Macaca fascicularis: one gene and its partners. The protein of the gene in region 5 binds, or shares a complex with, the protein of the main gene of each other region. Links are inferred from orthologs where the notes say so. Each region holds a gene or a part of one and is shown on either strand. Other genes may lie near its edges.

The links.
Region 1: ROPN1L (region 5) and NME5 share a complex: the UniProt entries of both Homo sapiens proteins name them as parts of the axonemal radial spoke complex. The link is inferred for Macaca fascicularis from reciprocal best matches to the Homo sapiens genes ROPN1L and NME5.
Region 2: ROPN1L (region 5) and DNAJB13 share a complex: the UniProt entries of both Homo sapiens proteins name them as parts of the axonemal radial spoke complex. The link is inferred for Macaca fascicularis from reciprocal best matches to the Homo sapiens genes ROPN1L and DNAJB13.
Region 3: ROPN1L (region 5) and LRRC23 share a complex: the UniProt entries of both Homo sapiens proteins name them as parts of the axonemal radial spoke complex. The link is inferred for Macaca fascicularis from reciprocal best matches to the Homo sapiens genes ROPN1L and LRRC23.
Region 4: ROPN1L (region 5) and DYDC1 share a complex: the UniProt entries of both Homo sapiens proteins name them as parts of the axonemal radial spoke complex. The link is inferred for Macaca fascicularis from reciprocal best matches to the Homo sapiens genes ROPN1L and DYDC1.

The regions. Positions count from the first base shown.
Region 1 is NC_088380.1:144,617,801-144,621,520, forward strand, and holds part of NME5 (nucleoside diphosphate kinase homolog 5), read right to left. Parts: intron 718-3,720; coding exon 512-717; intron 1-511. UniProt on the Homo sapiens protein: Functions as part of axonemal radial spoke complexes that play an important part in the motility of sperm and cilia. Does not seem to have nucleoside diphosphate kinase (NDPK) activity.
Region 2 is NC_088388.1:72,831,675-72,834,129, reverse strand, and holds part of DNAJB13 (dnaJ homolog subfamily B member 13), read right to left. Parts: intron 2,159-2,455; coding exon of another isoform or gene 2,144-2,158; exon of another isoform or gene 1,729-2,143; intron 908-1,728; exon of another isoform or gene 557-907; intron 464-556; exon of another isoform or gene 375-463; coding exon 261-374; intron 1-260. UniProt on the Homo sapiens protein: Functions as part of axonemal radial spoke complexes that play an important part in the motility of sperm and cilia.
Region 3 is NC_088385.1:7,840,643-7,845,076, reverse strand, and holds the start of LRRC23 (leucine-rich repeat-containing protein 23), read right to left. Parts: upstream 2,956-4,434; 5' UTR 2,813-2,955; coding exon 2,687-2,812; intron 2,602-2,686; coding exon 2,492-2,601; intron 2,055-2,491; coding exon 1,801-2,054; intron 844-1,800; coding exon 713-843; intron 1-712. UniProt on the Homo sapiens protein: Essential for sperm motility and male fertility. Plays an important role in the proper assembly of the third radial spoke (RS3) head and the bridge structure between RS2 and RS3 in the sperm flagella.
Region 4 is NC_088383.1:66,450,071-66,454,512, reverse strand, and holds the start of DYDC1 (DPY30 domain-containing protein 1), read right to left. Parts: upstream 2,826-4,442; 5' UTR 2,489-2,825; intron 1-2,488. UniProt on the Homo sapiens protein: Functions as part of axonemal radial spoke complexes that play an important part in the motility of sperm and cilia. Plays a crucial role during acrosome biogenesis.
Region 5 is NC_088380.1:10,820,965-10,824,684, reverse strand, and holds part of ROPN1L (ropporin-1-like protein), read right to left. Parts: intron 3,604-3,720; coding exon 3,480-3,603; intron 1,922-3,479; coding exon 1,760-1,921; intron 1-1,759. UniProt on the Homo sapiens protein: Functions as part of axonemal radial spoke complexes that play an important part in the motility of sperm and cilia. Important for male fertility.

The DNA of each region.
Region 1 (3,720 bases), about 130 Mb from region 5:
TATTCACGTCTGCAGGAGGAATACACTGGGAAAACAGGAGTTCTCTGGATAAAAACGTGGTGTTGTTTTGTAAGAAGTAAAAAAGCAATGCACATTCAAAAGTGCAAGAACTCAATATCTTATTTCCATACATTAGCAATAATGCTGAAAATTTGAATTTCTGTTCCTGTATTACCATTATTATTTTAACATACCATCCCAATTTTTCCATCTAAAAATCCTACTTCAGTGGCAGTTTAAAGGTTGAGAGAATAAGGGTAATCAACTATAAATCAGACATTCTCTGATGCTTTTTCTGGCATGTAGTATTAAGATAGGCATTTAACACTTTAAAATGTAAAATGGACCCCCAGGCCCCGCCCCCTCCCAAAAAAAAAAAAGCTGATTTTGGAAAACTTCCAAATAATAAAACAAAAATTCCCATTACAATGAAATTAGTTTTGTTTGTTTTTTTTTTTCATTTTCACAGATGGATTCCATTCCCTGCCATCCCCCCAACCCTGAAAATTACCTGTCTGGATGTGTCTCCTTCGCTACTAAGCTATTATTTGGTCCCAAAAGTTCTAACCAATAAGAGATGGCTTTATGTCTAGCTAATATCATGGCGACAAGTGGTCCAGAACTCATGTAAGCTGTTAAATTGGGGAAAAACATTTTTCCATACTGTTCCACATAAAAGTTACTACATTGCTCAGGGCTGAGGTGTAGTTTTCTTCTCTATAAAAGACACAAAGTCAACAAAAGCATTTAAAATGACAGTTCAATGATAGCTCATTAAAATCATTACTAACTTGAAACTAGTACCAATCTGATTATAACTTCGAGGTTTATCTTTGTATTATGAAGAAAGAAAAGGATATAATTAAATGTATGTTGTAAATAAGATAGTAAGAGGAATTACTTCACCTACTTAAGAAAAATTATGGCCAGGTGCAGAGGCTCATGCCTGTAGTCCTAGCACTTTGGGAGGCCGAGGCCAGCGGATTGTCTGAGCTCAGGAGTTCGAGACCAGCCTGGGCAACATGGTGAAATCCTGTATCTACTAAAATTCAAAAAATTGGCTGGGCGTGGTGGCATGTGCCTGTAGTCCCAGCTACTCAGAAGGCTGAGGCAGAATTGCCTGAACCCGGGAGGTGGAGGTTGCAGTGAGCCAAGACTGCACCACTACACTCCAGTCCGGGCGACAAAGAAAAATTATTCCAGTTAGGCAGCCTCCCTCAGCATATGGTTTGTTAGTAACAAATTTATCACATCTCCTTCTTAAAGTAAATAACTCTTCAATTAATAAAACTGGACTTAATATTTCAAATTCATGTTTCTCTATTTGTGTTACTATTTTGGGAGCTGGTCTCATTAAGTATGAGAAATTATGAGTTATTTCTCATACTTAGAAATAACAGCTAGGCATAGTGGCTCATGCCTGTAATCCCAGCATTTTGGGAGGCCAAGGCGGAAGGATCGCTTCAGCCCAGCCAGGAGTTAGAGAGCAGCCTAAGCAACACAGGGAGACATTGTTTCTATGAAAAATTTTAAAATTAGTCGGGTATGGTGGTGTGTGCCTGTAATCCCCACTACATTAGAGGTAGTGAGCCATGATAACATAATTGCACTCCAGCCTGGGCGATAAAGCAGACCCTGTATCAAATAAACTAACAAAAAAAGTAATATGTAGTATAATGATGCAGTAAAAAAGTTTTTCATTTGAACATGTGTGTTCTTTATTCTGGTTCTGTCATAAATATCTTGATTCACTGTAACATGAAGAAAAATTAGGCCAGGCGAGGTGGCTCAGGCTTGTAATCCCAACACTCTGGGAGGCCAAGACAGGCAGATCACTTGAGGTCAGGAGTTCAAGAACAGTCTGACCAACATAGTGAAACCCCATCTCTAATAAAAATACAAAAATTAGGCCGGGCGCAGTAGCTCACGCCTGTAATCCCAGCACTTTGGGAAGTCGAGGTGAGTGGATCACCTGAGGTGAGGAGTTGGAGACTAGTTTGGCCAACATGGTGAAATGCCATCTCTACTGAAAATACAAAAAATTAACCAGGTGTGGTGGCACACGCCTGTGATCCCAGCTACTCGGGAGGCTGAGGCAGGAGAACAGCTTGAACCTGGGAGGCGGAGGTTGTAGTGAGCCAAGATCACGTCATTGCACTCCAGCTTGGGCAACAAGAGCGAAACTCTGCCTCAAAAAAAAATAAAAATAAAAATCAGCCGGGCATGGTGGTACATGCCTGTAGTTCTAGCTACTCGGGAGGCTGAGGCAGGCCAACAGCTCGAACCCGGGAGGCAGAGGTTGCAGTGAGCCAAGATTGCACCTCTCTACTCCAGCCTGGGTGACACAGCGAGACTCCGCCTAAAAAAAAGAAAAAAGAAAAATCAGGCCGGTGTGGTGGCTCATTCCTGTAATCCCAGCACTTTGAGAAAGAAGAGACAGGTGGATCACCTGAGGTCAGGAGTTCGAGACCAGCCTAGCCAACATGGTGAAAACCTGTCTCTACTAAAAATACAAAAATTAGGCCAGACGCAGTGGCTCACGCCTGTAATCCCAGCACTTTGGGAGGCAGAGGCGGGTGGATCACCTGAGGTCGGGAGTTCAAGACCAGCCTGGCCAACACGATGAAATCCCGTGTCTACTAAAAAAAAAAAAAAAAAATACAAAAAATACAAAAAATTAACCAGGCGTGGTGGCGGGCACCTGTAATCCCAGCTGCTTGGGAGGCTGAGGCAGGAGAATCACTGGAACCCGAGAGGCAGAGGTTGCAGTGAGCCGAGATCATGCCACCTCACTCCAGCCTGGGCAACAAGAGTGAAACTCCGTCAAAAAAAAAAAACAAAAACAAAAACAAAAATTAGCCAGGCGTGGTGGTGCATGTCTATAATCCCAGCTACTCAGAAGGCTGAAGCATGAGAATTGCTTGAACCCAGGAGGCAGAAGTTGTGGTGAGCCAAGATCGAGATAGCGCCATTGCATGCCAGCCTGGGTAACAGAATGAGACTCTGTCTAAAAAAAAAAAAAAAAAAAAAAAAAAAATCATGGTTGCTGAGTCTAATTTGAAAGTATCATGCTTTCTCTAGAAGCAGCTATTTTGAGTGCCATTTTTTTTTTCAAGGCGTGAGCCACTGCGCCCAGCCTTGAAGGTTTTTAAAAATTATTTATTATTGCCAGCCGGGCTCAGTGGCTCATGCCTCTAATCTCAGCAATCTGGGAGACCAAGGCAGGCAGATTGCTTGAGCCCAGGAGTTCAACACCAGTCTGGGCAACATGGCGAAACCCTATCTCTACAAAAAACACAAAAATTGGTGGTGCACACCTGTAGTCTCAGCTAATCGGAAGGCTGAGGCACGAAACTTGCTTGAACCCAGGAGGCAGAGGTTGCAGTGAACCGAAATCATGCCATTGCACTCCAGCCTGGGCAACACAGTGAGACTTGGTCTCAAAAGAAAAAAAAATGTATTACTACTGTTTTTTCAATTCCACTAAAGGTGGGTCAGGAGGGAAAATGCTCAAAATATAACAGAGGGATTCAAAGTAGAAATCAAAGAACCTCTGCCTGGAGTAAGGATGATGAGACATGGAGGTATGTCACTGAGGGAAGGCTAAAAATCCCCATGATTATGGCAGAAATCTGTCTTTCTAAAATGTCTTAGATTTTCCTGAGAGTAAGTGTGAATTTTACCAAGTGACCCACCTCTTAAAGCCCTTTCCAAAATTCC
Region 2 (2,455 bases), on a different chromosome or scaffold from region 5:
GTGTGTGGCAGGATCTCTAAGGAGAAGAGCCTGGAGGAGATGAGAAGTGGGGAGGAGGACCTGCTGTGCAGATCTGGTGCACAGATCCAGGCGGTGAGGATGAGCAGAGGGGACCAAGTGGATGGTGATTTGGAGGGTGGAATCCACAGGGCTTAGCGACTGATGGCAGGTGGTTGCGGGAGGGGAGGCCAAGTCTAGGCCAGGGCAGGTGGGGCTCATGCCGATCCCCTCCCCGCTGCTCCTGCGCTTTGCCCACTCACCTTGCCCAGAGGGATGGGGTTCACGAAGAAGAGGTTGTCATTCTCCCTGCGGAAGCGAGGGTGTAGCTTCTCCTTTACGATGAAAATGATGTCTGCTGGGATGATGTTGGGGCCCTGGGCAGGGGACGCCAAAGGGTGACAAGGACTAGTTGGCCGTGTGACTTTGGCCAAGTTCCTGCCTCTACTTGTCTCCATGTCTTCATCTGTACAATGGGGAGATGAGAGCAGGTTTTCTGGAAGGGCCTTTTCAGTTTGGCCCCCATAGCCCAGATAGATTAGAAGCCTGAGAAGCTTACCCAGATGAATCCCCCCAGAATTACTTCTGTACTGAGCATGCCCAAAATAGACCACTCAGCTGGAGGCTCGGAGAGGTTTCCTCAGACGGCAGGTAGAACACTGAGCTGGGCGTCAGGCAACCGACCATATGTCTCTGTCTTGCTAGTAACTCCAGGCATGACACCCCTGTCATTAAGTCACCACAAGTCTGCTGAGGTCTCTTCTGGGCATTGGGGACAGAGGAATCAGACTGGTCCCTCACCCCAAGGAGCTCCCAGTCTCGTGGCCGGGAGGGAGAGGAACTGACGGTGAATCCTCAGCAAGCTCGAGACATGATAAAGGGAGGCCCAGATCCTGGAGCTCAGAGAAGGCTGCCCAGAGCAGGAAACACGAGCTGGGTTTTGAAGCATGTTTCTTCAAAGTAGATGTTTTATTTATTGTTTGTTTGTTTGTTTGTTTTTTGTTTTTTTTTAGACAGGGTCTCTCTCTGTTGCCCAGGCTGAAGTGCAGTGGCATGATCATAGCTCACCACAGCCTTGACCTACCTCCTGGGCTCAAGAGATCCTCCGGCCTCAGTCTCCTGAGTATCTGGGACCACAGGCACACACTGCCATGCCCAGCTAACTTTTTTGTTTTTAGTAGAGACAAGGTCTCACTATGTTGCCCAGGCTGGTCTCAAACTTCTGAGCTCAAGTGATTCTCTTGCCTTGGCATCCCAAAGTGCTGGGGCTGTAGGTGTAAGCCACCAAGCCAGACCGGAGGTAGATGTTTCATAGGTGAGAAAGGGGGTAAAAAGTGCAGGCAAAGGAATGTATCTTTCCTGGCTCTGAATGCTCCATCATTCTGCCTCTTCTCAGGACTTAAGGACTCAGCATGCCTTGGACAATAATTTTATGTTTTTATTTAAATAGTATTTAATTTAAAAGTATTACTAATAGGCCAGGCATGGTGGCTCACATCTGTAATCCCAGGCACTGTGGGAGGTCGAGGCAGGCAGATCACCTGAGGTCAGGAGTTCGAGGTCAGTCTGGCCAACATGGAGAAATCCTATCTCTATAAAAATACAAAAATTAGCTAGGTGGCCAGGTGCAGTGGCTCACGCCTGTAATCCCAAGCACTTTGGGAGGCCAAGACAGGTGGATCACCTGAGGTCAGGAGTTCGAGACCAGCCTGGCCAACATGGTGAAACCCTGTCTCTACTAAAAATACAAAAATTAGCTGGGTGTGGTGGTGCATGCCTGTGATCCCAGCTACTGGGGAGGCTGAGGCAGCAGAATAACTTGAACCCAGGAGGCGGAGTTTGCAGTGAGCCAAGACTGCGCCACTGCCTTCCAGCCTGGGTAACAGAGTGAGACTCTGTCTCAATTAAAAAAAAAAAAAATTAGCTGTGCGTGGTGGCACGTGCCTGTAGTCACAGCTACTCAGGAGGCTGGGGCAGGAGAATCGCTTGAATCCAGGAGGTGGGGGTTGCAATGAGCTGAAATTGTGCCACCTCCCTCCAGCCTGGGCAACAAAGTGAGACTCTCGTCTCAAAATAAAATAAAATAAAATAAATAAATAAAATTATTATGATTAAATGATTTCTGAGTAGCTCCTGTAGTTGGGCTTTATTCCGAGAAGCACTGGAGAAAATCAGGAAAACACTGGAGTTCAGACTGGGATCTCCTTTCAGCTCTCATGTTCTTGCCTTAGGCAAGTCCCATTCTTCTCTGGGTCCCCGTTTCCCACTCTGTAAAATGGGGACAGTCCCTGGGCTGCCCATTCACAGAAGCATTATAAGGCTCTGTTCCTTGGAAGGAACATTAGGGATCCCGTCTCACCCACTCTGCAGACTGGGCTGTCTACAGACCAAGGCTCACAGGGTCAGGAAAAAGTATTGCCTCTTTTCCCTTCCCTTCCTCCTCAGTCTTCCCACCGCC
Region 3 (4,434 bases), on a different chromosome or scaffold from region 5:
AGGAAGGACATGGAGCACTGCACCTATTCCCCCAGACTTTGCCCTATGCATCTCTTCATCTGTGTCCTTTGCCCTTGCAATAAACTGATAAAAAGTCACTCCAGAAAATTAATTAAATCCAAAGAAGAGGTCATGGGAACCAGCTTCATGTTGAAGCTGATGTGTCAGAAGTTCCGGAGGTTTGGACTTGCAACTGGTGTCTGCGGACGGTGTGGGGGTCACTCTTGGGAACTGAGCCCTCAATCTGTGGGATCTGATGCTATCCCCAGGTAGATAGTGTCGGAATCGAATTAGAGATCACCCAGCTGGTATCTACTACTTGGTGTATGGGGAGAAACCCCACATCCTGGGCCCCGGAAGTCTTAGGTTGATTATTGCTGTGGTGGCTAGGGCAAGAGCTGAAGAAAAACCCAATCTGAGAGGAGAGTTTTCCTAAAACATTTCCACAGCCTGATGTTTGTACCTCAATTATGGTCCATTTTGCTGCTACCTGTATCAAAGTAAATTATCTCTGTATTATCCACATATTATATATTATCAGCCCTGCTAGGTGGCTCTGTATCTCCACAGTATCTGGAACCAACTATGGGCTTGATAATACCAGTTACTATCATAATGAAGAAGTTAGTAGCTGAGCCTACTAGAAAACAGGCATCCTGACCCCCAGGACAGTGCCCTCTTCCCTGCACCACCCTATGACCCAGTGAGTTACCAGGTAGAGGTTCTTCAGCTTAGGAAGATTGATCCCCACCGTGCTTCCCAGCTGATTCCCCCGAAGCTCCACTGTGTGCAGGCTGATCAGCTTCTGGGGGTCCAGACCTGTCACCATGTGGATTCTGTTTCCTGGGGAGGAGGGTTTCAAGAGCTCAAAGGGCCACTCCAAATGTTCAGCATTAGAGCCTGAATTTGGGAAGCCTCTAAATCACCCTATCCTGGACATTCACAAAGCAGGGTAGTAGTGAGGAAGGACAGCTCCAGACTTAATACCTCCAGAGCCCTGGGGCAAGTGGTGTGGTAGTCCAAGGTCCTGATGGACATATCCACCTAAGCCTTTGAAGAGTGAACGAAGCAGCTGACATGTCTAATTCCCTCTCCTTCTTCAACTCTTTGCTCAAATGTCATCTTCTCAGTGATGGTTGTCCTAACCAATCCATTTAACATTGCCACCTATGTCCCCCATTCCTCTTACTCTGATCTATTTCTTCCAAGGCACTTGTCTCCTTTTAACATGCTACATGAATTTACGTATTGTGTTTGTTTTACTTGTACGTCTCTCCCAACTAGAAATATAAGCTATATGAGAATAGGGACATTTCTTGTCTTATTCGCTCCTATATGGTTAACATGTAGAACTGTCATAATGAATCACATTGCGTATCTGAATGAATGAATGCAGACTGCCATGTGCCATAGCCAAGGACCATACTGCCCACTTCTGTTGGCCTCAGGCTAGGAAGGAAAGAATCTTGTGTAGCCCATCCTAAGACCCACCTTGGCCGGGCGCAGTGGCTCAAGCCTGTAATCCCAGCACTTTGGGAGGCCGAGATGGGCGGATCACGAGGTCAGGAGATTGAGACCATCCTGGCTAACACGGTGAAACCCTGTCTCTACTAAAAAATACAAAAAAACTAGCCGGACGAGGTGGCAGGCGCCTGTAGTCCCAGCTACTCGGGAGGCTGAAGCAGGAGAATGGTGTGAACCCGGGAGGCGGAGCTTGCAGTGAGCCGAGATCCGGCCACCGCACTCCAGCCTGGGCGACAGAGCGAGACTCCGTCTCAAAAAAAAAAAAAAAAGACCCACCTTTGAGATTCAGGGTTTCAAGACGAGGATGAGAGATGCCTTCAGTGTCAGTAATCTGGTTATAAGCAAAACTAGCAATCTGCAGGTAGGGCAGTTCATTCAGCTGGGCACTTCGCAGCCGGTTGCCATCAGCCTTGAGCCAGAGCAGGTGGGTGAGGTAGTTGAGTGGCGACAGGTCTGTCAGGTGATTCTCAGAAACATCCACATAGCGCAGATGGATGTAGGAGCGCAGCAAGTAGATGTCTGTCAGGTCCCTAGGAGATGGAAGAGGGAGAAGGAACCAGGTTTAGGGTTAAGAACCCAGCGAGGACTGGCAGAGTTGCTAAAGCAGAAGGCTTATAATGAGGAGAAGAATGGGCAACAGATGGTAGGCGAGAAGAAGGGTAAGAGAAGGTAGGTGGGTTCTTAACAGTGGGCAGAAAGACCTGTGTCTGTGAAGGACAGAGAACCCATACTCTGAAAGACAAATGAGGGAATCCAGCAGGAATCCCCCCATATACTCTCAGTCTCCAATTCCCCAGGTCAGCTTTGATAGAAGTCTCAGCGCTCCTGAAAAGTAAATTTTGTCCTTCCCTTTCCACTAGGCATGAGAAGGGTCAAACTCTCAGCCAGAACACCCAGGAATGACAGTGGGAAAGGAGACAGGGGCCCTACAATCTCACAGTCCTCATCTGGTCCCCCCACAACGCACCTCTCTTTAACCTCCAGCTTGACATAAGCATGAGCCAGCCCACTGCCTGTCTTACAGAGCAGAGAAAGCCCTTCCTTCATCATGTCCTCCGTGAGGGGCGTGGGCAGCCACTGCAGGTGGAAGTGGAATAAGGCGTCCCTCCCCTGCCCAACCCCGCCCCTCAGCCCTAGGACCCCTCTTTGTCCAGGCTCTCACTTCCTCAGGGAACTCTTCCCCCTCTTTTCTGTAGTCCTCCCCCTCCTCTGTCTCCTTCTCGTCCTCTTCTTTCTCAAAATCATCCTGGTCTGGCTCAAAGTCTTCTAGATCATCTTCATCTGACATCTTTCTTCCCTCCTGAAAGCTCTGAAGTCAGATAAGCTCAGTCCTCCTCCTGAGAAAGAAGGTCTCCTCAGCTTCTGCCAGCCTTCAGCTCCTTCATCGTCATTGACACGTGCCACTCCCATCACCCGCATCACTTCTGACCCACCAACTCTAGGCTTCTTTCCTCATCCCTGTGAACATCTCATTTTGACTCTCAACCCCCACTTCACACTTTCCACTGAGGACCCCCTCCCTTCAGGATGTCACCCACACCCCCAGGCCTTTCCTGTCCTTCGCAGTGGCTTCAGCTCTCCTCCAGCAGCCCAGTGTCCCTATTTCCTGGGCTTCCCTCTCCCCCATTCTTCCCACCTCCCCCTTAAGCCATGCTCTCCACTCTTCCCTACCAAGTCCTCCTCCTCCTCCTCTCCTCTTAGCTCCCACTGCGCCATCCCTAATCCCCGCTCCATTCATTTCTTCTACTTTTCCCTCCCCACTGGACCAATTTCCTTGGGCCCTCTGGTACACCAGCCTAAAGCGCAGTCTCCAGTCCTCCCACTCAATTCGCCTTAGCAAAGGGGCTCAGACCCTGTTTCTGCTAAATCAGAAGCAGTTCTGGAGAGGCCCTTGGTCCCGAGAGGGAAGGACTGTTTAGCAAGCGGGCGAGGGGAAGGAGGGGTTGTGTACTGCTGTTATGGCAACGGGGGCGGGGCACTTGGCTACTGAAACTCGCCACCGTTGAGCGCAGAGCGGCGACTACCTGATGCGCAAATCAGCTGGGGAGGGGATTGATCAGTAGTTGCCTGGTTACCAGGCCAATTTCCCAGTCCCGGGAACCCGGATGAGGCGCGGAAAGGGCGTCGGGCCGCTAATTGGTTGAGGACAAAAAAAAAAAAAAAAATGGCCAGGGCTGAGAAGAGAGAAGAGAGAGGGCGGGGCTAGTCATTACGTCACCCAAGACCTTAAAGGGACCCCCGACATCTTCAATGCAAAAGTATTGTGAATTCAGGAAAAACTCACCCTTCGAAGCAAAAAGGGCGGGGCTGCGAGGAAAAGCAAGAAACACCAAGATAAGGGGTCTTTTCCCCTTCCCCCTGTAGTTTCTGCTCATTAGTTATTTTCAGGTAGACCTTTGAAAGGTGGCTTGGTAGAGCGGAAGGAGCCCAGACACAGGTATCTTAAGAACTGGGTTGGAGTCTTGGCAGATCTGCATTTACTAGCTAAACGTACCCAAGACTCTTTCTTATCTGTAGATCAGCTTAACTATATCAACTGGCAGGGATCCAGTATGAGTTATCCTGGACTGGTTTGATGCAAACCTTTTAGTGGGTGGAAGGCAGAAAATTCAACATCTGCCCACTGAAATACTCCTGATCCAACGTTGTTATATCAGTAATCAACAGGAACTGGCATAGCCAAAAACCCAGGCACTCAGGCCTGTCTGACGTGTTGAAGAAGTTGAAAAAGATGTTGAGATGCAATAAATATTTCTGAAGAGTTTGTGCGAGACATTATGTCAAACGTCTTTACAACTGGTATTTAATCTCTGCAACAGTCCTGTAAGACAGACATTTGAAAGAAGAGGATACTGAGGCTCAGGGAGGTTAAGATGACACAATTCCTGCCTGGGGAAAGGGGGATGTTAC
Region 4 (4,442 bases), on a different chromosome or scaffold from region 5:
TAGACCAGATTGTTTTTAAAACAGAAAAGGAAAAACGCAGCAACCAATCTCTTTCAGGTGCTTTGGAAAAATTGATCACCCTCAGATTACCCTTAATATTTTAAGAAATTCAGACTCTCCTGATAGTCTGATGAAATGTAATCAATTGTTCAACAAATGTATAATGAATATTTGCTGGGTGCAATGGCTCACACCTGTAATCCTAGCACTTTGGGAGGCTGAGGTTGGAGGATCGCCTGAGGTCAGGAGTTCGAGACCAGCCTGGCCATAGTGGTGAATGCTGTCTCTACTAAAAATACAAAATTATCCAGGTATGGTGGCACATGCCTGTAATCCCAGCTACCAGGAAGGCTGAGGCAGAAGAATCACTTGAACCCGGGAGGCAGAGGTTGCAGTGAGCTGAGATTGTGCCATTGCACTCCAGCCTGGGCAACAAGAGTGAAACTTCATCTCAAACAAACAAACAAACAAAAATACCTGTTGTAGGTCAGGCACCATGATAGGTACTGGGAATACAAAACTATTGTGGCTTGAATGTCTGTGTCCCCAAAAATCTGTATGTTGAAATCCTAACTCCCAATGTGATGGTATTAGGAGCCTTTGGGAAGTGATTAGATCATTAGTGTGGAGCCCTCATGCATGGGATTAATGCCCTTATAAAAAGAGACGGGAGAGCTTGCTCTCACTCTCTGCCATCTGAGAATAAAACTAGAAGACAGCCACCTGCACACCAGGCAGAGGGTCCTCACCAGACACCAGAAATGCCAATGCCTTGATTTTGGACTTTCCAGCCTCCAGAATGATGAGAAATAAATGTGTACTGTTTTTAAGCCACCCAGTGTTGGTAATTTGCTATAGCAGCCCAAACTAAAACAAAAACAGTCTCTGCCTTCATGGAGCTTACAGATGAGAAGGGAAGATAAATATTTAAATCAATAAATATGAAATTGAAGTTAAAATAAGTACTATGAGACCAGAGGAGAGGAGGAGCTGATCAAGTCAGGAAAGTAAAAAAAAAAAAAAAAGCTTCTCTGGGGGTGACATTTGAGCTAAGCTCACATTTACCCAAAAAGAAAAAAAAAAAAAAACAGTAAAATTAACATGACAAAGAAGAGAAGGAAGAGTCTTCTAGGTATGAGGAAAGGCCCTGATATAAGAATGAGCATGGCAATTATAGGGGATAGAATGCCACTGTGTCTAAACCTGTCCCTGGACAAATGCACCTAGCATTTTGCATAAAAGTTCAGAGACACTGACATCTGGGGGTCCGTCCATAACCCCCAATTTTTATTCTATGGAAAAATTCAGTGTCTCTGAAATTTTATGCATAACCATGCGCATATGCCATATGACAGTGGTGGGAAGGCAAAATGGTGTAACTCCTATGGAGGAGAATTTGACAACATCTAGAAAATCACATATGCATTCACCCTTTGACTCATCAATCTTGCTTCTTGGATCCTATCTCAAAGATATAGTTGCAAAAATATGAAATGGCATATGCACACAGGTATTTGCAGCATTATTTACAATAGTCACACTGAAGCACCATCTAAATGTTCATCAAATTGGGGATTAATAAGAGCAACACAATGGATTATTATGCAGATGTACAAGAGAATGAAGAAACTAAAGAGTGATCTCTAAGACACAAAATAAAGAAAACAAGGTGCTGAAATTGTATATGATCCGTCATCTTTTGCATTAGCAACAGCAGTGAGGAAAGGAATATGTGTATATATAAACATAGTCATAAAAACTCTAAAAACTGAAAGCAAACTGGCACTAATGAACCTAATTCCAAATCAGGTTGATATTGGTGTCTTAACCACACAGAGAAAAGAATTATTACAAATGACTTTGGAACACAGTATCTTCACTGTATTTCTTCAGTAGGATGTATCTGAAAGACCAAAACGCTACAAAGACATGTCAAAGTCATTTGAAGTAAAAAAAAAAAAAAAAAGGGAACAGACTCCTATTACTGCTCCAGAAAGATAAAATGTGGGAAGGTAGGAAGGGGGCCATTATCCCCAAAGAGAAAACTTCTGGCCTACCAGTGGGGCCAAGTCAGGGGAGGCTCTGTCTCGGATTTCTGGGCATATCAGTGGGACCCAGGCAAGGCCTGCCAACTCCCTTAGCATATTCCTGTCCGTGAAACGAGGATAATACCCATCTCTCCTGTGGTAACCAATGTTATTTTTCATATACACCAATAGGCATCTTGGCTCAACATAAGAAAGCCGTTTCCCACAGAAACAGCTGCCTACAGCCTGAAGAAGGTGCCACAGAGATGGAAGGAGGTTCCTTACCCACACCTGGGAGACAGCCAGCCGACTGGGCAGGGGCACCCGGGCAGGGGTGCCAGACTTCTCAACTAAAAACCCAGCTCGCCCAGGTGACTCTGAATTTCAGATAAACAACGAATAACTTTGCGTGATACTATATTTGTACTGAAAAGTAACTCGTTTATCTGAAATTCAGTTACCTGCGCATGCAGTACAGTATTGCATCTGGCAACCTCCCGGGGCGCTCGATGTGGTTTTCCCACCCGGGAGTCTGGAAGAGTCTCCCGCAGCCCGCAGGAGACAGAGACGCAGCGCTCCCTGCTCAGGACGAGCAGGAGAAGGAGAGCCGGCTGCTCTCGGGAGCCCCAGGCGCGAAGCGGCCTCCTTCCGCCTCAGGTGAGTCCTGCTCGACGCCCAAGGCCCAACGGTCAGAACCGCCTCTGCCCGCCGGACCCAGCGAAGCTAGAGGAACTAATCTCAAAAACAGTTCGGGCCTTCCCGGTGCGCACACCCGACACACGCGCACGCTAGCCACCCGGGAGCCGCGTCCCGTTGCCAGGCAACGAGAGCGCGCGCCTCAGGAGCCCGTGTAGGTGAGCAGAGGGCGCGCAGTGGGCGGTGGAGGGGGAACGCGCAGCAGAAAGGGGGGGCCGTGGGGGGTCGCGCTGCAGGGAGGAGGGGGCGTGCAGGAGCAGTAGCGCACCGCTGAGTAGAGGGGCCGCGGCCGAATGGAGGGGGCGTGCAGGGGTAGGAGCGCGCGGCAGAGTAGAGGGGGCGCGGCAGAGTGGAGCGGACACGGTAGAGAGGAGGAGGCGTGCAGGAGCGGGGCGCGCGACATAGAGAAGGGGTCGTGCAGAAGGGGGCGCGCGCAAGGGGAGGGGGCCAGAGAGGAGCGGGCGTTCAGGGGGCGGGCGTGCGGCAGAGAGGAGGTGGTGTGCAGGAGGGAGAGCGCGCACGAGGTGGCGGAGAGGGAATGCGAGAAGGGGAGCGCGGCAGAGAGAAGCGGGCGCGCTCCAAGGGGCGGGGGCCGGGAAGGAGGGGGCGCGTAGGAGCGGGGCGCCAAGCAGAGAGGAGCGGGCACGCTGGAGCGGGGTGTGCGCACGAAGGGTCGAGGAAAGGCATATGTGGCGGCGCGCAGGTGGGTGAGCTGAGGAGACTTGCTGCACAGAAACCTGGAGGAGTGGGGGGACCGAAAAGAGCAAGGGACCCTGGCTGGCAGGCAGGCATGCTCTGGGAGAGATGAGGGGGTGGCGCGCTTTGAGGAGGAACCAGGAAGGGCAGCCAATCGGAGAAGGGCGGAAGACCTAGAGTCGTTGGAAGACCGTCACTGCAAGCTGCTAATAGCCTGGCAGTTTCACAACTCCGCACCTTTGCTCTTGCTGGTGACCTCTGCTTGGTTCCTTTCAGAACCAACTCGGGTGCCTTACCTCCAGGAAGCCGTCCGGTCTCCACCAGGCCCAAGCCCTTGCAGTCCTCCTCGGCCTAGTCGTCTGTGCATGTACTAGCCTTTCCCGTGTTCTCTTTCAGCTTATGGGCGGGGCAGTGCCGGGCAAGAGAGGCCTTAGTAGATGTTAGTTGAGATAGTAAGTGCCAGAGTGGGCAAGGAAAAATCAAAGGGAAGCATGAGCACAGGCGTCAGAGCTCTCAATGAATAAATCAAGAAATATTTACTGAGCTCCTAGTGTGCCAAGCATGGGCGGTATACAGCAAACAAAGACAACCCCTATTCTTATTTTGCCTATTGAGTGCAGGCCAGGAACAATGTAAGCAGACCGTCAGGCGAGTTCTGGGAAACACCGAAAAATAGCCTCTCCCCCAATTGGTGAGTGTACCCTAAATTGGTCTGAGTGGGCCTTAAAAGGCATCTCCTTGGCCAGGCGCGGTGGCTCACGCCTGTAATCCTAGCACTTTGGGAGGCCGAGGTGGGTGGATCACCTGAGGTCAGGAATTGGAGAGCAGCCTGGCCAACATGAAGAAACCCTGTCTCTACTAAAAATACAAAAAGCCGGGCGTAATCCCAGCTCCTCGGGAGGCTGAGACAGCGGAATCGCTTGAACCAAGGAGGCAGAGATTGCAGAGAGTCGAGATTGCGCCACTGCACTCCAGCCTGGGTGACAGAGCGAGGCTCTGTCTCAAAAATAAAAAATAAAAGGC
Region 5 (3,720 bases):
AAAATGTCTCCAATAATTAAATGTATTTGCCTTTGTCTATCTTGATAATACCCCTGAGACACTCCCCTGGTGCCATCTGCACCTGTCCTTGCTACTGGAGGGTACCGGGCCTGCCAACATCCAGGCCTTGGCACAAGTAGCCCAGGGCTGACAGGAAGCACCTCCATTGCCTTTGAGCAGTTACACAACAAAACTCTTGCTCATTCTACAGCCGCACCACACCCGCCTCCCTGAGCGCACGGAGCTTCCCACTGGGGCCATCCGCCGAGCTGGTGAGCTGTGCTGCACTCAGATGTGACATGGCAGAGGAAGGGAAAGAACAACACGGTCTGTGATATACAGATGAATACATCTAGTCATATAATTTAGAATGAAAATTTCAGAAAATTACTAACAACACAATTGTCTTTTCATCAAGTCAAAACCAACTACAATTCCGCAATGTACCTCTTGGGGGACACACAGAAGTGTGCGTTTCACAGGCCAGGGAGCGAGAAGCAGGAGCTTCAGAAACGTCGTTGCTTCAGGCCACCAGGCAGGGGGACAGGATGCGGGAGGAGGACACGGGTGGTTGGAAGTGGGTGCGTTAGCGACCACGTTGGGTAGGTTTGCGGGTGTTTACCACCACCCATTTCAAGGAATTGGTTTTAATGAAAATGGAATGAAAGAGCTCTGGGCATGGACCAAAGCTGAGTGAGGGCTGTGAAGCAAGCACATGGGCGTCCAGTTATACACGCTGCGCCACAGACTGAAGGGAGTGGGTAAAATCAAATTGTTAATCTATGTAGTCAAAGGAGCTGGTTCTCCTTGCTCTGCCTCCTTTCTTCGTAAGCCACATGGCTGATGCCCGGTTACTCTTCCTTCACCCAACCAACATGTCTCACAGCAAGACTTTAGCTGAGAAGACTGACTCTGGGTTTGCAAAGGAAGTCCTGCCAACATCATCCCAGCTCCCTTCTCGCCCCGACCTCCCAGGCTCGCCTCGTCACCTGGAGGATATGTCTTACTCCTAAGTCGCTTGGCTTATACTCGAACATCAGCAAAGTTGCACTGTATCTATTAGTTATTAATAATAGACTTCTAAGGCCGCCGTGGTGGCTCATACCTGTAATCCTAACACTTTGGGAGGCCGAGGTGGGCAGATCACCTGAGGTCGGGAGTTCGAGACCAGCCTGACCAACATGGAGAAACCCCGTCTCTACTGAAAATACAAAATTAGCCAGGCATGGTGGCATGCGTCTGTACTCCCAGCTATTCGGGAGGCTGAGGCAGGGGAATTGCTTGAACCTGGGAGGCGGAGGTTGTGGTAAGCTGAGATTGCGCCATTGCACTCCAGCCTGGGCAACAAGAGCAAAACTCCACCTCAAAATAATAATAATAATAATAATAGATTTCTACTAAAGTAGAAAATAATTATATGCCTCTTTCCACAGATGAGGAAAACAGTTATCAGTTTACAAAATGATTTGTAGTTTTAAAAAGTCATTGATGCATTTTCTTCTAAAACCTAAATATAGTTTAATAGTATCCATATCTTTCATCTACTGTTAACCTTTAAATTGAGGCATTCATAAGTAATTTCTGTAAATTAAAATAACTATAAGCCCAAAAATATTAATATAATAGGCCTGGAGCAGGGTGAAATGCTTTTCTAAGACAAAGTTACTAAAGTGTTTCCTTTAGTTACGGAAACCGAAAGGATTTTTAAGCTGGGACCATGCTGACACAGAATGACTGACATGCGTTTATAGGTACATACCCCACCAAGCATGCTGCACCCAAGTGCTAAAAAGTTTATCCACTTGATTCTGTTTTCACAAGGATCCAGTTGTAAGAGCGCTTTGAATTTTTCCTTCGGCAGGCACAAGTTCTTCCACTTCTGCTCCAGATCTGTTAATTCCACATACTGCTTGTGGTGACACTGTTTAGAAAACACAGTATGACAATTTACGTACGTTTTAAAACCTGGGAAACACTAGAATGCTGTGAAAATTCAACATACACCGAGTAACCCACCCCACGCAGGGGACAGATGAACTCCAAATGCATGACAGTGGGTTCTGTCAGCCCTGGGGAGGGGAGGCAGGGAAGCCAGTAAGCGGCAACCTTTTATTTCTTAAATGAAAAAAGGACGGTGAAGCGAATACAGCATCATGTTCTGACTTAATGAAACAGGCATACTGATATTGAGTACTGTCTGAAATGCTTCACAATAAAAAATAAACCTCAGTAAAAAACATTTTAAAAATCCAGCCCCTAAACACATTAACAGTTAGGAGAAATCTTAAAACTGAAAATAAATGTATTCCTTCCACTATATATTTATTTATTTATTTATTTTTGAGATAGTCTCACTCTGTTGCCGAGGCTGGAGTGCAGTGGCATGATCTTGGCTCACTGCAACCTCCACCTCCTAGGGTTAAATAATTCTCCCGCCTCAGCCTCCCAAGTAGCTGGGATTACAGGTGCACAGCACCACACCCTGTTAAGTTTTGTATTTTTATTGGAGACAAAGTTTCACCTTGTTGGCCAGGCTGGTCTTCAACTCCTGACCTCAAGTGACCCGCCTGCCTCAGCCTCCCAAAGTACTGGGATTAAAGGCATGAGCCACCATGCCCGGCCTTCCTTCTACTATTTTAAACAATCTATCAAAACTGGTAACTTCTGCAATCTGCTAGCAGTATCTTGGATGAAAAGGCTTTGAGCAATTTCAACATGTCTTTTCCCAAGCTACACCATTCAAGAGTTCTTCATTTCCCTTAAGGTAGCCATGGAAAAGTCCTAGTTTCAGAATTCACTGTACCCTATGCAGAAGTACAGCACTTCACAATGTAGAACGGGGTAAGTCAGTTTGAAAATCAAGGTTATGCCACTGGTGTCTCTGTTAGCAAAAGAACCGAGTCATGAGGAATGCCTAGCCTTGCTCCATTACCCACTTTCTAGTAACTCATGTCTCTAAAAACAGGATGGCATGTGGGGCGAAGAAGTGCAAGGCAGGAAGGGGGCCCAGGCTCTCCACAGAACTGGACACCAGAGGCTGCTGCCCACCTTGGGCGCCAAAGTCCAGCCCCGCCTTCAGACAGAGAAGGCAGAGGCTTACTCAGGCCCGCACACAGCTTTCACAAATGCACACCTGGAGAACAGACTGGAAACCCCCCAGGTTCTGGAATTTTGTATTTTTCGCCCAGCAGAATCTAGTGTCATGTACATTTTGTATTTAAAAGAAATTATATTTCACTTTTGTAAAATCTACCCCTGGATAGTTACTTGGGGCTATTGAAGCTAGAAAAAGACCTCCCAAACACAACATATTTCTTCCTTGAATCAACCTTGACGATGCGTGGCAGGAAAAGCAGGACTTCAGGGACCTTGGGAGGTTTGAAATACATCGCCGGGGTGGGCCTCGCTCTGTCATCAATGCACAGTGAATGGTAAGGAAAGCACAGGCCAGTTGCCTGAGGCCACAGAACCCCCCATACCTGCTTGTGCAAAATTTTCAGGAGTCCTGGAGTCAGGCCTGTGTCTGTTTTCTGGGTTGCCGTGGGCATTTCCATTCTGTCCTTTACAGGAAGTGGATCTCCTCTTGACAAAGCTGAAAAATATCTAATAAATAACAGACATCTCTGAAAGCTCATCAATACACAAAAAGCAGCTATGCGATGCAATTTCTTAAATAACCCCCCAAAACAATGGTGATTAGGAAGGACAGCTCTGAAGACC